Saccharomyces cerevisiae S288C: one gene and its partners. Each later gene encodes a partner of the first gene's protein in a complex. Each region holds a gene or a part of one and is shown on either strand. Other genes may lie near its edges. A codon is read from its position in the direction of its gene.

Region 1 (5,074 bases):
TACTGTCCTACACAAACAGTTGCGGAGCTGGACTTGATGAGTGGTATCCTGCACTGTGAAGATAAAGACTACAAAACTGCATTTTCGTATTTCTTCGAAAGTTTTGAAAGCTACCACAATTTGACTACGCATAATTCCTACGAAAAGGCATGTCAAGTGTTGAAATACATGCTATTGTCTAAGATCATGCTGAACCTTATTGATGACGTAAAAAACATCCTAAACGCAAAATACACAAAGGAAACGTACCAGTCCCGAGGCATTGATGCCATGAAAGCTGTCGCTGAGGCTTATAACAACAGATCGCTTTTAGACTTCAACACGGCGCTAAAGCAATACGAGAAGGAACTAATGGGCGATGAACTAACAAGATCCCATTTCAATGCATTATACGACACGTTATTAGAGTCCAATTTGTGTAAGATTATTGAGCCATTTGAATGTGTGGAAATATCCCACATTTCCAAAATAATCGGTCTGGATACTCAACAAGTTGAAGGAAAGCTCTCCCAAATGATACTAGATAAGATATTCTACGGTGTTCTGGATCAAGGTAATGGTTGGCTTTACGTTTACGAAACTCCGAATCAGGATGCCACGTACGACTCTGCATTGGAATTAGTCGGGCAACTAAATAAAGTCGTCGATCAACTATTTGAAAAGGCAAGTGTCTTGTATTAGGTTTACATGTATATATATGTATGTATACTCACAAGTACCAGAGTAAGAATTCCTAAATAAACTTATAAAATGCAGAAAATACATAAGTATGATTTTTCTTTTTTTTCTCCTAAGAAAGGAAGAAGTTTAATCGAATGCGCCGCTAAATAGAAAACAGTTGATGCGAAAGTTCATCAAAACCAGAAGTTCCTACAAGCCTTAGCTGACAAAAATTCGAGAAAGCTAATGTCGAATTTTGGCAGAAGAACTTGGGATAGAGAGGAGTATGCTGAGCAGGCTAGAAGCGGCTATGACGATCGATCCTTAAAGGCTACGCTAACACCGATTGAATTACAAGCTTTAAAATCCAAATATACAAATTACGATCATTTAATCAAGGGCTCGCTAAAAGACCTAAATAAAAGGAAACTAACAGCAAATACAGAGAGCTTATCGTCTTTCAAGAGGGGAAAGAAGTTCGGATTTTACTGCGATATTTGTAACCTAACCTTCAAAGACACTTTACAATACATTGATCATCTCAACCACAAGGTCCATGCAATAAAATTTGAAAATTTGTTTGATGAACCGTTAATTATAGATATAAGAGATAATGATGACGTACCGCAAGAGGAGTTTGAGTTGTGCTATCATAACTTGATAAAGGATTTTGTAGAGGTGCGTTCTATGGAGACTCAGTCCAAGAGGAAAAGGCTTTTGGACACAGATGTGGAGAAAGCAAAGAAAGTGGCTACTAAGCCTTCTATTGAGAGTGAATCAAAAGTCAGTCAAATGATGGGATTTTCCAATTTTGCCACCTCTAAAAAATGAGAAACCAAGTAAAGATAAATGAGCATAATACAAGCATAGAGCACATATAAAAAGTCGGGACTCAGATCAGATCATTAGATATATCTTTTATGTATATAAACCCTTAATTAAAATATATACGCGAAAATATTCATTCTCAAAATTCCATTATTGGGCCAGAACCAATACTTCTCCAAGTGGTCATGTCTACGTTCCACTGGCGCCATTTGTTCAGCATAACGCGATCCACTTCCATATTATTCCCGTGGGCCACCTGCGTACCAGAATTGGTTACAGATTGTGAGGGAGTTAGATTATTGCTTGAAGTGTTGAAATCCGCAAATTGAATAGGAGTTGCTGTGGTATTTCTTGCTGCCTTAGCTTCTGCTAATTTTAATTTTTCTACTGCGGCAATTAATTCATCCCTTGCGGTTTGCAAATCGTTTTGTAAACCATTAATGATGTCTTCTTTTTCCTGCAATTGATCCTGTAGGTCATCGACAGTAGTTTCATTTTCCATATTCAAAAATTTCAGTTGTTTATTTTCCTGTGTGAGTTTCTCATTTTCCGCCCTTAGTTTGGTCAACTCATCTTCTTCTTTTTGCTTTTTAATCGTGGTGAGAAAGTCAGATTCTTCATTGCCGTCATTGGCAAATAAATCGTCTGCTGCTTCTGATGTATTTGAAGGTTCGTTTCCTTCTTGAGTTTGTACAATTTTCTTTTCCTCTTGTGGTTCTATGGTCTTTCCGGCATCTGCTGTTTGCTCATCGTTGTTATTTTTTATAACTTCTTGAACTTCCTCTTTTTTTGTGTTTTCTGCATCATCCTTTCCCACATTTGATGAAGTACTATTTATTTCCTCAATATCTTTTTCTGTTGTGCCCGAAGGATCTGATTTAACCTGTTCTATTTCTTTTTCTTCACTCTCCTCATCCACGTCATTTTGATCGTTGTTTTCACTTTTGGTGGAATTTGCTTTCACAGTCTCCTCCTGTGTGGACTCTTCGCCTGGTGTGCCCTCTAAATCAGGAGTTTCAGATCCTATAGAGCCTGTGGCACTGCTATTTTTATTCTTCTTACCTTTATTCTTTTTATTTTTCTTTTTCTTCAATTCTTCTACTCTCTTTCTAGCCTCTTCCAATTGTTTCATACGCTTAACTTCATCAGACTCCTGTTCAGACATTGTAACTATATGATAAACTTGCTCAATTCAGGTTGGTTCAATGCAAATTATTACATCCCTTTTTTATCACAAGATCTTCGTAACAATAGTACTAATTAATAGTGCTGGGGATTCTCAACCATTTTTTTTTTTTCAAAAGCGAAAATGGATAAAACGGTGGCAACTTCAAACAAGTTGAGGGAAGCCAACGCAGCGTTTAGGAAAACGTACGACAAGAACAAGAAGATCATCACATTGTAATTATGGATTTAACCGTGGAACCTAATTTGCACTCTTTAATTACCTCTACCACTCATAAGTGGATTTTCGTTGGTGGTAAAGGTGGTGTTGGTAAGACTACTTCATCATGTTCCATTGCTATCCAAATGGCTTTGAGTCAACCAAACAAACAGTTCCTACTGATCTCTACTGATCCTGCCCATAACTTAAGTGATGCATTCGGTGAGAAATTTGGTAAAGACGCCAGAAAGGTGACAGGCATGAATAATCTATCATGTATGGAAATCGATCCATCCGCTGCTTTGAAGGATATGAACGACATGGCAGTTTCACGCGCTAACAATAACGGAAGTGACGGTCAAGGTGACGATCTAGGAAGCTTGCTTCAAGGTGGTGCTCTTGCTGATTTGACCGGTTCCATCCCTGGTATCGACGAAGCTTTATCCTTCATGGAAGTCATGAAGCACATTAAAAGGCAAGAACAGGGCGAAGGTGAAACCTTCGATACTGTTATTTTTGACACTGCTCCAACTGGCCACACATTAAGATTTCTACAACTACCAAATACTTTATCCAAGCTTTTGGAAAAGTTCGGTGAAATTACCAACAAATTGGGCCCAATGCTAAACTCTTTTATGGGCGCAGGTAATGTCGATATCTCTGGAAAATTGAACGAGTTAAAGGCTAATGTCGAGACCATCAGACAACAATTCACGGATCCTGACCTAACGACTTTTGTTTGCGTTTGTATCAGTGAATTCTTATCCTTATATGAAACTGAAAGACTAATTCAGGAATTGATTTCCTACGATATGGACGTTAATTCCATCATTGTCAACCAATTATTATTTGCTGAAAACGATCAAGAGCACAACTGTAAGAGATGTCAGGCAAGATGGAAGATGCAAAAGAAGTACTTGGACCAAATCGACGAATTGTACGAAGATTTCCATGTCGTTAAAATGCCATTATGTGCTGGAGAAATCAGAGGCTTAAATAACTTAACAAAGTTCTCACAGTTCCTAAACAAAGAATATAACCCTATTACTGATGGCAAAGTCATTTATGAGTTAGAAGATAAGGAATAGAAGCCCCTGAATACCATAAATAGATACATACGACATATAACCATAGAAAAAATAGTAATACGATGGTATGTGTGTGAAAAGAAAAAAATTACGTGACGCGACGCGTTTGTTTACTTTTTTCCATTTTATTTCCATGGTATTTTTCAAATGATTTTGGAAAATTATTAGATATTGTTGAAAAAGGAGGAAATGAGAACCCTTTATAGTCGAGAGTAACAAGTAAAGGGGCTTAACATACAGTAAAAAAGGCAATTATAGTGAAGATGAGTTTGTCCACGAAAAGAGAGCACTCTGGTGATGTAACTGACTCTTCATTCAAAAGACAGCAACGAAGTAATAAGCCCAGCTCAGAATACACTTGTCTGGGCCATCTGGTGAACTTAATACCCGGAAAGGAGCAAAAAGTGGAAATAACAAATAGAAACGTTACTACAATCGGTAGAAGTAGGTCGTGCGACGTTATATTGAGTGAGCCTGACATCTCGACTTTCCATGCTGAGTTTCATCTACTGCAAATGGATGTGGATAATTTCCAAAGAAATTTGATTAATGTTATCGATAAGAGCAGAAACGGAACTTTTATTAATGGTAATCGTTTGGTGAAGAAAGACTACATCCTTAAGAATGGTGACAGAATTGTCTTTGGCAAAAGTTGCTCCTTTTTGTTCAAGTACGCATCTTCATCTTCTACTGACATCGAAAATGACGATGAAAAGGTAAGTTCAGAAAGTCGTTCATATAAGAACGACGACGAAGTTTTCAAGAAACCGCAAATAAGTGCTACAAGTAGCCAAAATGCTACAACGAGTGCCGCAATTAGAAAACTGAATAAGACAAGGCCTGTGTCGTTCTTTGATAAATATTTATTAGGTAAAGAATTAGGTGCAGGGCACTACGCCCTGGTGAAAGAAGCCAAAAACAAAAAAACTGGTCAGCAAGTAGCTGTGAAAATATTCCACGCTCAGCAAAATGACGACCAAAAAAAGAATAAACAATTTAGGGAGGAAACTAACATCCTAATGAGAGTGCAACATCCAAACATTGTCAACTTACTAGATAGTTTTGTAGAGCCAATCAGCAAATCTCAGATTCAAAAATATTTGGTACTGGAAAA
Region 2 (4,037 bases), on another chromosome or scaffold:
ATATATTGTCTTTGATAGTAGATTCAAAATCGTTCATTATATCATCCCAAACCTTTTTGGATGGATGTGATAGTAAATGAATCACATGATCCTTTAATTCGGGAACCAGATTTTTTTTAATACGACCGATTTTTGCTTTCAATTCAGCATCACGTAGTTGCTTGATTCTTTCTTCAATATCGTCGGAAAATTTGCAGGTAATCTCTTCGTTTGATATTAGTAGCCCTAACTTTTTGAAGGTCTCCATTGATTCGTTAAATTCTTTCTCAATCTTACTCTTACCTGCCGCCACACTTTCTACAAAAGAGGTAGTAGCTTTGTCTCTAGAAGACACCTCCAATTTTAAATCGTCCCATAACTTTTCCATTAATGATTCCAAGAACTCATTAATTGTACCTGAAATATGTGAATTCAGCTTTGTATTTAAAGCTTCTCGTTTCTCCATATAAACGTTTCTTGCATAGCGCGATGCTTGTTCATCATATTTTGTCAGACATTCTTCTTTTAGCTTCACTAGCTGAGATGTTAAAGATCCCAAGTTACCCTTTAAAGGAGCAATCGATTCATCATATTTTGAAATGAACTCTTCTAGAGCTTCATTAGATATTTCTTCAGTTTTAAATCTAGCAACCAGAATTTGCTGAGTTGGAAGATCTAAATCCTTGTTACGTTCAATTTGATCCCAACAATTTTCTGCGTACATAGTCCAACCATCTAATGGCAACCTATGGTGATATTGAGGTTTGAAATAATAGTTTTCCGTACCTTTCATCACAAACGAATCACCTAATTTCTTGACATCCTGGGTAAATTTGTCTTCTTGCAACAACTTATGAGCTAGCCCGACAAACTTTAAATCGAAATAATCATACAGGCTAGAACCCTCACAACCAGCAGGTTTACTTAACTCTGTCCATATTTTTTCCAATTCTCTCGTAACGGAATCACTCAAACTCGAGAGTGGAGTCACACCTACATGATCTCTAATTACAAAAAGTAACAGCACCTTGTGGTCATTATCATTCTTGCCAAATAGGGAAAGGTTGACCTCAAAAACTGTTTTTAATAAAGCCATATTATTACCTTGATATAGCCCAATTTGCTGCTCCCACATATTAACTATAAGAACTTCAGATACTGCAATGGCAAATAAAGCGGCTTTTCTCTCAAAATCTTGGTCTTCACCTCTTTCTGAACCATCGGAGCCCTCAACATCTAGCACAAAAATATCTGGACGATCATTATCGATTTCAATAGTTGTATTAACCTGTTTAGTGTGAGCCAACCAAATGCCTTTAGTAGTCTGCTGCCTTTTCACCTGAGCATCCATGGTATCAAAGTTGGTGTTAAACAAGACGTTAAGTAAAGTCGATTTACCACTCGATTGAGAACCGAAAACTGAGATGACATGGTAATCTAGACCAACATCACGATTTCCAATACATTGTTGAAAATATTGTAATGCACTTTGATGAAATTCCTTCTCTTCATCTATCAACTGAATAGCAGGTCTATCAGCCATGACTAAAGTATGTCAACCGTCGAGTGAGTTAGTAGCCCGTTTGTTGAAATAAGTCAATAATTATTTACCATCAAAATACACCTTTCAGTATTTTGTTCGTTTTGTCGCTCTTCGTTAAGGTAACAAACAATGGGAAAAAAAGTGAAAGGAAAGTCAAAAAAATGAAATAATAACATGTGCGGTAAAACAACCAAGTAAACATCATAAAGGGACATAAATAATAATAACAAGCTATGGTTCCTGCTGAATCTAATGCTGTACAAGCGAAACTCGCTAAAACCTTACAAAGATTCGAAAATAAGATCAAAGCTGGAGATTATTACGAAGCGCATCAAACGTTGAGAACTATTGCTAATAGATATGTTAGAAGTAAATCATACGAGCATGCCATAGAACTAATTAGTCAAGGGGCCCTTTCATTTTTAAAGGCGAAGCAGGGCGGTTCAGGCACGGATTTGATCTTCTATCTTTTAGAAGTTTATGATTTAGCGGAAGTTAAAGTTGATGACATCTCAGTTGCTAGATTGGTTAGATTAATAGCCGAATTGGATCCTAGCGAGCCCAATTTAAAGGACGTTATTACTGGTATGAACAATTGGTCTATCAAATTTAGTGAATACAAATTTGGAGATCCTTACTTGCACAACACCATTGGTAGCAAACTATTAGAGGGAGATTTCGTTTATGAAGCTGAGAGATATTTTATGTTAGGTACACATGATTCAATGATCAAATATGTCGATTTACTATGGGACTGGTTATGCCAAGTTGATGATATCGAAGATAGCACGGTGGCTGAGTTCTTCAGCAGATTGGTTTTCAACTATTTATTCATCTCTAACATATCATTTGCACATGAATCAAAAGACATTTTTTTGGAAAGATTTATTGAGAAATTTCACCCCAAGTACGAGAAAATTGATAAAAATGGTTATGAAATAGTTTTTTTTGAAGATTATTCCGACCTAAATTTTTTGCAATTGTTGCTAATTACCTGTCAGACTAAGGATAAGAGCTATTTCTTGAATTTAAAGAACCATTATTTAGATTTTTCTCAAGCTTACAAAAGTGAGTTAGAATTTTTGGGCCAGGAATATTTCAATATTGTTGCTCCTAAACAAACGAATTTCCTACAAGACATGATGTCGGGATTCCTGGGCGGATCGAAGTGAAAAGAGCATATTTGCGAAGGAATAGATAAATATGTTTGCGGTGGCTTGACGACCATGACGTATATACATATATATGTATGTGCTAGCTATTTGTCGTCTTTAATGATAGCAGACCTATTAAGGGCCTCCAACAATTCAGGCCTCTTGGCGTCTATCAAGTTTTGTTTAGCTTCTGTATAAGAGTATAGCTTTCTATGTCTTTTGTGACATTCCGGAAATTTATCAAGGAGATTTTCAATCTCTAATTCATAAAAATGAAATTCGGTTCTTGGCGGGTGCTTTGCTACTTCTGAATCTTTTCGAGAGTTCTCGAATTGCTTAATGTCTTTGTTCCAGTCCTTAGGGGGTCTCATGTCTTCAACTGTACCCAAATTGGCGACAATTTTACCTATGCAACCAGCTTCCTCCCAAGTTTCTCGTTGGGCAGTCGTCTCGTAATTAGGCTCGTCTTTCTCAACGCCACCTTTGGGGACAATCCATCTTTTCTTGTGTGCAGAAGAAGTAATCATGAGAACTTGCTTCTTGTCGGGTGTTAAACATATGCAGCCAGCAACTAATCTTGCACCTGTAACGGGTGAGTAAACCTGGTTTTCTCTTCCTTCACGTGCTGTCTCAGAACGTACTGGACCATGATTATCCGCGGTTTTGCCCATTTTGTGTTTCCCCACGCTCTTATACTCCTACGTACTCACTGTTCCTGACCTTTCAGGCGTTATTTCAGTGTGATTTCATGTCTTAAAGTTGAGGCTTCCCTTTACACTATTTACCTCCGCGAGACGTTTGAGAATTAAGCCGCACGTGCTCGCCGCAGATGTTCTTTCAACGACAAGAGAACACCATGCTCCTACTATTTACGCATTATTTACACAGTATACCTTTCTGATGATGAAGTTTGAAGGTTTAAATTCTGGGCAGTAGCTGTTTTTACGGTTGTCTCAATATTTCTCATTCTGCTTTATAATCACGGGAGTATGACAGCATTACCAATCTCTATCAAGATGAAGAAAGATGAGCATGATCGTTTTAAGCTCACATGGAAGCTGTAGTTATTACCAGTATATCCTCTTTATATATAGCGAATGTAGATTTCTGCCAGTATCATACTGGCAGAAATCATAGTGAACGGAGTTAAATCCGCGGAAATTAGAAAAACGTTAAAAGGTTCCATGCCATATTACTAATGGGGTAGAGGCTGATATACGGGGAAAAGGATAACAATACCAAGACATTTATAGTATTCCACATCACTAGACGTATGTAATAGACAACTTCCCCTTGGAATTACCAAAACGCCAAAAATTCGGAATTACAAGAGAAAAGTTAGATCAAAGGAACAACAAGAT
Region 3 (4,319 bases), on another chromosome or scaffold:
GTACTTGTCTTAGGATTTCCATAGCTACAGTACCTTGACCGGCAATGACATAAGGATGATCGAAAGGAGGAATGTTCGTCAAGCCACGCTCTTCAGCCAATTTGGCACATTCAGCCTTAGCCTCGTCAAAATCGTTACCATATAGGACGACTTGAGACCCTAATCTCGAGACATTTTGATACTTAATAGATGGTGTACAAACAGGCATAACGATAGTAGCAGGTATTTTCAAGTGTTTAGCAGCAAAGGCCACACCTTGGGCATGATTCCCAGCTGAACAGGCAATAACACCCTGGTTTCTTTGAGAATCGTCCAACTTGGCAATCATGTTATAGGCACCACGAAGCTTGAAAGAGAAAACAGGCAATAGATCTTCTCTTTTCAAGATGACATTCGTGTTTAGACGGGAAGACAAACCTACACCTTGAGAGATTGGAGATTCATTAATAACATCGTATACAGAGGACCTTAAAACTAAACGGACGTAATCAGGGGTGTTATCAGTTTGCAGCTCATCCAATTTCAATTCAGAGTGTAGTTTTATCAAGGAAGGTGACAGGTGTTGTCTGTGCAAATGAGCCTTTAGTCTCAAAAGGTTCAATCCAGACACTTTGGACTGTTTACCTTGCCGAACAACCGTACATAATGGTTGCTTTAGTAGAGTAGCTGACATCACTAACTTTGTGTAATTGACTTAGTTTAAATGTGGCTTGTAGCACTCACACAAGAAAGAACTCAAAGCAGCAACAACAAAAGTTTTCAAAGCTGATAATGAAGTATCTGCAGACATATGTTTGAGATGACTCTTTTTCTTTGATATTTTTTTTTTCTTTTTATGCGATTCCAAATTTGCTACCCGCTGCGCTTTTTCTTTTTGCCCTTCTTATTTTTTCTTTTTCGCGTCAATTAAAATTGAACGTCACAAAATAGCAGAGATAATATGCAATAAAGAGAGAAGAGTTAAAGAGTCTTGGTAGTCAGGAAAAGGTTTTCATATTCATCAGACATAATGAATTTCAAGGAGCCGCTAGTGAATTTTTTAAAATGCGTCTTGAATAACATAAACTCGGCATTTTCGCATAGGATTGATCAATTGCAATTGCAGCTGTTGCGGGAAACAAATATCTTGAGGGTTTTGAACAGGGGAATAGAGAGACTGTTTAGCGAGAATCCAAGGACCCATTCTGTTTCCCGTATCGTGGTGGAAAAAGATGTGGGCTGCAGAATTGGACGATATGTGGAAGGTTCTAAATATGAACTGGTAGAGTCCAGGGCGAAAGAAATACAAATATATTATGAAAGGATGGTTTTTGAAATAACACAAGAATTGAAAGGGGACAAGCGGGTGTTTGCCTTGATTGCAAATCTTTCCCAAAGATATAGCGCAGAGAGGAAAGAAATACGAAATGTAAAGGTGCATGGTGGGCGGCCATGTAATGAGAACGAATTCCAGGTGATTCCGATAAGATTCAAACCTATTAATTTGGAAAGAAGAGCACGACTGATAAGAAAGAAGAAGACTATTAATTAAAAAACTTACATACAAATACATGCCTTACTTTCGATGCCAGCATCTGGAAAGGGAAAGGCAGGGGCAGAGGGACATATTACTTATCTATTTATGCATAATTTGTGTTATATATTGGTATGATAACTTGATGTTAGAGAATGTGCTATTCTGTTTCTTGAAAATCTGAGTTAAGGTTGATACCGCTTTGATACAGCGGGTGTGACAGGTTTATCTGTGACGGTGACAGGGGCAGTAGAACTACTGGAAGCCGCAAAGTCAGAGGATACTGTGAGTGGTGGTGCCCACAACGTGGATGGTCTCAGTTTGACCCTAGGACTTGCAGAAGATCCTGTGGGAAAATCCGGGGAAGGCGGATGGCTACTTGGGTTGAGCATTACTCTCTTTGTGAAAAGGGAGGGAGGGAGAAGTTTGGGGATGAGATGGTTGCTCTTATAACATAAGGTAAATAAAAATTTGGGGTGACCCCGCCGTGCGCGTTTGCTGGGACAAAAGAACAAGAATAGGAACATGAAAAGATTTGAATGATATGGATATGTACAAATGAGCTCTTCCATGTTTGTAGCATCAGCAACGTAGCTCTAGGAAATATGTCTGAATTAACAGAGGCGGAAAAGCGCAGGTTACTAAGGGAAAGGAGACAGAAGAAGTTTAGCAATGGAGGTGCCAGCTCCAGGCTTAATAAAATCACCGGGCAGGCAAGCAGTCATTTGAACGCAGAATCACCTTTAGACGCTCCTAGCGCTGCAAAGACCACACCACCTGCGAGTGTGCATTCGGCTACTCCAGATATCAAAGAAGATAGCAACGTAGCGCCCCAATTGGACCTATTGAAACAGCTCGCTGCCATGCAAGGCCAAGGTACGGGTAAAAGTACCCCTCAGGACTCCTCTACGCCCGATCTACTCTCACTACTAAGTTCTATGAACACTGGCATGCCCAGTGCAGAGGGTACACCATCGTTTGGTCAAGCGGCTCCTGCAGCCCCGATCAATCAAGCTGCTTTGGACTACCATGATTACTTGCTGAACAGACTGAAAGCCTGGACCATTCTTGTGAAGTGGGTCTTTTTCCTACTACCCTATCTATACCTAATCACAAGACCAAATTCCTCTGTGTGGCCGGCCTATGCATTTACTCAATCAGCTTGGTTTGCACCTTTGCGGAACCCATCGAATTTCACTAGAATTTTTGCCACGTTTGAGTTCCTTTCCATATCCATCTACTACCAGCTATTGAAGAATGTGGAACACAAGAGCAAGATTAAAAATTTACAAGATACCAATAAACTTGTCAAGTTAGTTTCACTGGTGCCCGAGGGAGTAATTCCCGTCGCCAACCTGAAGGGGAAGCTAATTACCCTTTTGCAATACTGGGATCTATTGTCCATGCTAATCACTGACATTTCGTTTGTGCTAATTGTCTTAGGCTTATTGACGTACTTATAAATTCTAGATAGTTCAGTAATATAATACATTGTTCTCATAACCCGACATTATTCCCGGCTTTCTTTTCAGGTAATTGAAAAAAAAAGAAAAACGGTAAGAAAATTTTCTAAGCGATGAGTTCGTGAAAAATCGATGTATAGAACTGAATTGGAGTTCAATAGTAAAAAAAAATCCATATATAGCATTAAAAACTCAGTATCCTAGCTTTAAGAAACTGAACCAGATTCCAACGACACAATGGGTCACAAGAAGAACGGTCACAGACGCCAGATAAAAGAAAGAGAAAACCAGAATAAATTTGAACGTTCCACATATACTAATAATGCTAAAAATAATCATACTCAAACAAAGGATAAAAAACTAAGAGCAGGCTTGAAAAAAATAGACGAGCAATATAAAAAGGCGGTATCTTCTGCTGCGGCAACAGATTACCTTTTACCCGAGTCCAATGGTTATTTGGAACCTGAGAATGAGCTAGAAAAGACTTTCAAAGTGCAACAATCGGAAATCAAATCGAGTGTGGATGTCAGTACTGCAAACAAAGCTTTGGATTTATCTTTGAAGGAATTCGGCCCTTATCATATAAAATATGCAAAAAACGGTACGCATCTTTTGATTACTGGCCGCAAAGGTCACGTAGCATCTATGGACTGGAGAAAGGGACAACTTCGTGCTGAGCTGTTTTTGAATGAAACCTGTCACTCAGCGACATATTTGCAAAACGAACAATACTTTGCTGTAGCGCAAAAAAAATATACATTTATTTATGATCACGAAGGTACAGAATTACATCGTTTGAAACAACATATTGAGGCAAGACATTTAGATTTTCTACCATATCATTACCTGCTCGTAACTGCCGGTGAGACAGGTTGGTTGAAGTACCACGATGTTTCCACTGGCCAGTTGGTCTCGGAATTGAGGACCAAAGCTGGGCCAACTATGGCAATGGCACAAAACCCATGGAATGCTGTGATGCATCTAGGTCATTCAAACGGTACAGTATCCCTCTGGTCACCATCCATGCCTGAACCATTAGTAAAATTACTTTCTGCCAGAGGACCAGTGAACAGCATTGCTATCGATAGAAGCGGGTATTACATGGCAACCACAGGGGCTGATAGGTCGATGAAAATTTGGGATATCAGAAACTTCAAGCAACTACATTCTGTGGAAAGCTTACCGACGCCAGGAACAAACGTTTCCATTTCAGATACTGGTCTATTGGCATTATCTAGGGGCCCTCACGTTACGTTGTGGAAGGACGCTTTAAAATTAAGTGGAGACAGTAAACCGTGCTTCGGGTCCATGGGAGGGAACCCACATAGAAACACCCCTTACAT

What was found. Proteins that work in one complex are often made in the same cells at the same time.
Region 2: the proteins of GET3 (region 1) and GET4 are in contact, whole or in part, in a crystal structure (PDB 5BWK), measured with the Saccharomyces cerevisiae proteins. Residues at the interface, in NP_010183.1 of Saccharomyces cerevisiae: Val5 (codon at 2,908), Phe230 (codon at 3,583), Pro233 (codon at 3,592), Asp234 (codon at 3,595), Glu253 (codon at 3,652), Gln257 (codon at 3,664), Ile260 (codon at 3,673), Ser261 (codon at 3,676), Asp263 (codon at 3,682), Asp265 (codon at 3,688), Val266 (codon at 3,691), Asn267 (codon at 3,694), Glu304 (codon at 3,805), Leu305 (codon at 3,808), Tyr306 (codon at 3,811), Glu307 (codon at 3,814), Asp308 (codon at 3,817), Phe309 (codon at 3,820); in NP_014807.3 of Saccharomyces cerevisiae: Ala11 (codon at 1,786), Lys12 (codon at 1,789), Thr16 (codon at 1,801), Arg19 (codon at 1,810), Lys23 (codon at 1,822), Gln34 (codon at 1,855), Thr35 (codon at 1,858), Ile39 (codon at 1,870), Arg42 (codon at 1,879), Tyr43 (codon at 1,882), Arg45 (codon at 1,888), Ser46 (codon at 1,891), Ser48 (codon at 1,897), His51 (codon at 1,906).
Region 3: the proteins of GET3 (region 1) and GET2 are in contact, whole or in part, in a crystal structure (PDB 3ZS9), measured with the Saccharomyces cerevisiae proteins. Residues at the interface, in NP_010183.1 of Saccharomyces cerevisiae: Val5 (codon at 2,908), Ser11 (codon at 2,926), Pro233 (codon at 3,592), Phe246 (codon at 3,631), Leu249 (codon at 3,640), Tyr250 (codon at 3,643), Glu253 (codon at 3,652), Arg254 (codon at 3,655), Ile256 (codon at 3,661), Gln257 (codon at 3,664), Ile260 (codon at 3,673), Asp265 (codon at 3,688), Val266 (codon at 3,691), Asn267 (codon at 3,694), Gln301 (codon at 3,796), Glu304 (codon at 3,805), Leu305 (codon at 3,808), Tyr306 (codon at 3,811), Glu307 (codon at 3,814), Asp308 (codon at 3,817), Phe309 (codon at 3,820), His310 (codon at 3,823); in NP_011006.2 of Saccharomyces cerevisiae: Lys9 (codon at 2,143), Arg10 (codon at 2,146), Leu13 (codon at 2,155), Arg14 (codon at 2,158), Arg16 (codon at 2,164), Arg17 (codon at 2,167), Lys20 (codon at 2,176), Phe21 (codon at 2,179), Ala26 (codon at 2,194), Arg29 (codon at 2,203), Leu30 (codon at 2,206), Lys32 (codon at 2,212), Ile33 (codon at 2,215), Thr34 (codon at 2,218), Gln36 (codon at 2,224), Ala37 (codon at 2,227).

Annotation. Positions count from the first base shown.
Region 1 is NC_001136.10:280,998-286,071, reverse strand, and holds GET3 (guanine nucleotide exchange factor GET3), read left to right. Parts: upstream 1-2,895; coding exon 2,896-3,960; downstream 3,961-5,074. Other genes in the region: proteasome regulatory particle lid subunit RPN6, read left to right, coding at 1-681; U4/U6-U5 snRNP complex subunit SNU23, read left to right, coding at 907-1,491; BUG1 (Bug1p), read right to left, coding at 1,628-2,653; serine/threonine protein kinase DUN1, read left to right, coding at 4,224-5,074. UniProt on the Saccharomyces cerevisiae protein: ATPase required for the post-translational delivery of tail-anchored (TA) proteins to the endoplasmic reticulum. Recognizes and selectively binds the transmembrane domain of TA proteins in the cytosol.
Region 2 is NC_001147.6:642,051-646,087, reverse strand, and holds GET4 (protein GET4), read left to right. Parts: upstream 1-1,755; coding exon 1,756-2,694; downstream 2,695-4,037. Other genes in the region: dynamin-like GTPase SEY1, read right to left, coding at 1-1,522; polyphosphatase DDP1, read right to left, coding at 2,781-3,347. UniProt on the Saccharomyces cerevisiae protein: May play a role in insertion of tail-anchored proteins into the endoplasmic reticulum membrane.
Region 3 is NC_001137.3:324,831-329,149, reverse strand, and holds GET2 (GET complex subunit GET2), read left to right. Parts: upstream 1-2,118; coding exon 2,119-2,976; downstream 2,977-4,319. Other genes in the region: threonine ammonia-lyase ILV1, read right to left, coding at 1-673; YER085C (uncharacterized protein), read left to right, coding at 1,010-1,531; YER084W (uncharacterized protein), read right to left, coding at 1,699-2,085; UTP7 (Utp7p), read left to right, coding at 3,214-4,319. UniProt on the Saccharomyces cerevisiae protein: Required for the post-translational delivery of tail-anchored (TA) proteins to the endoplasmic reticulum.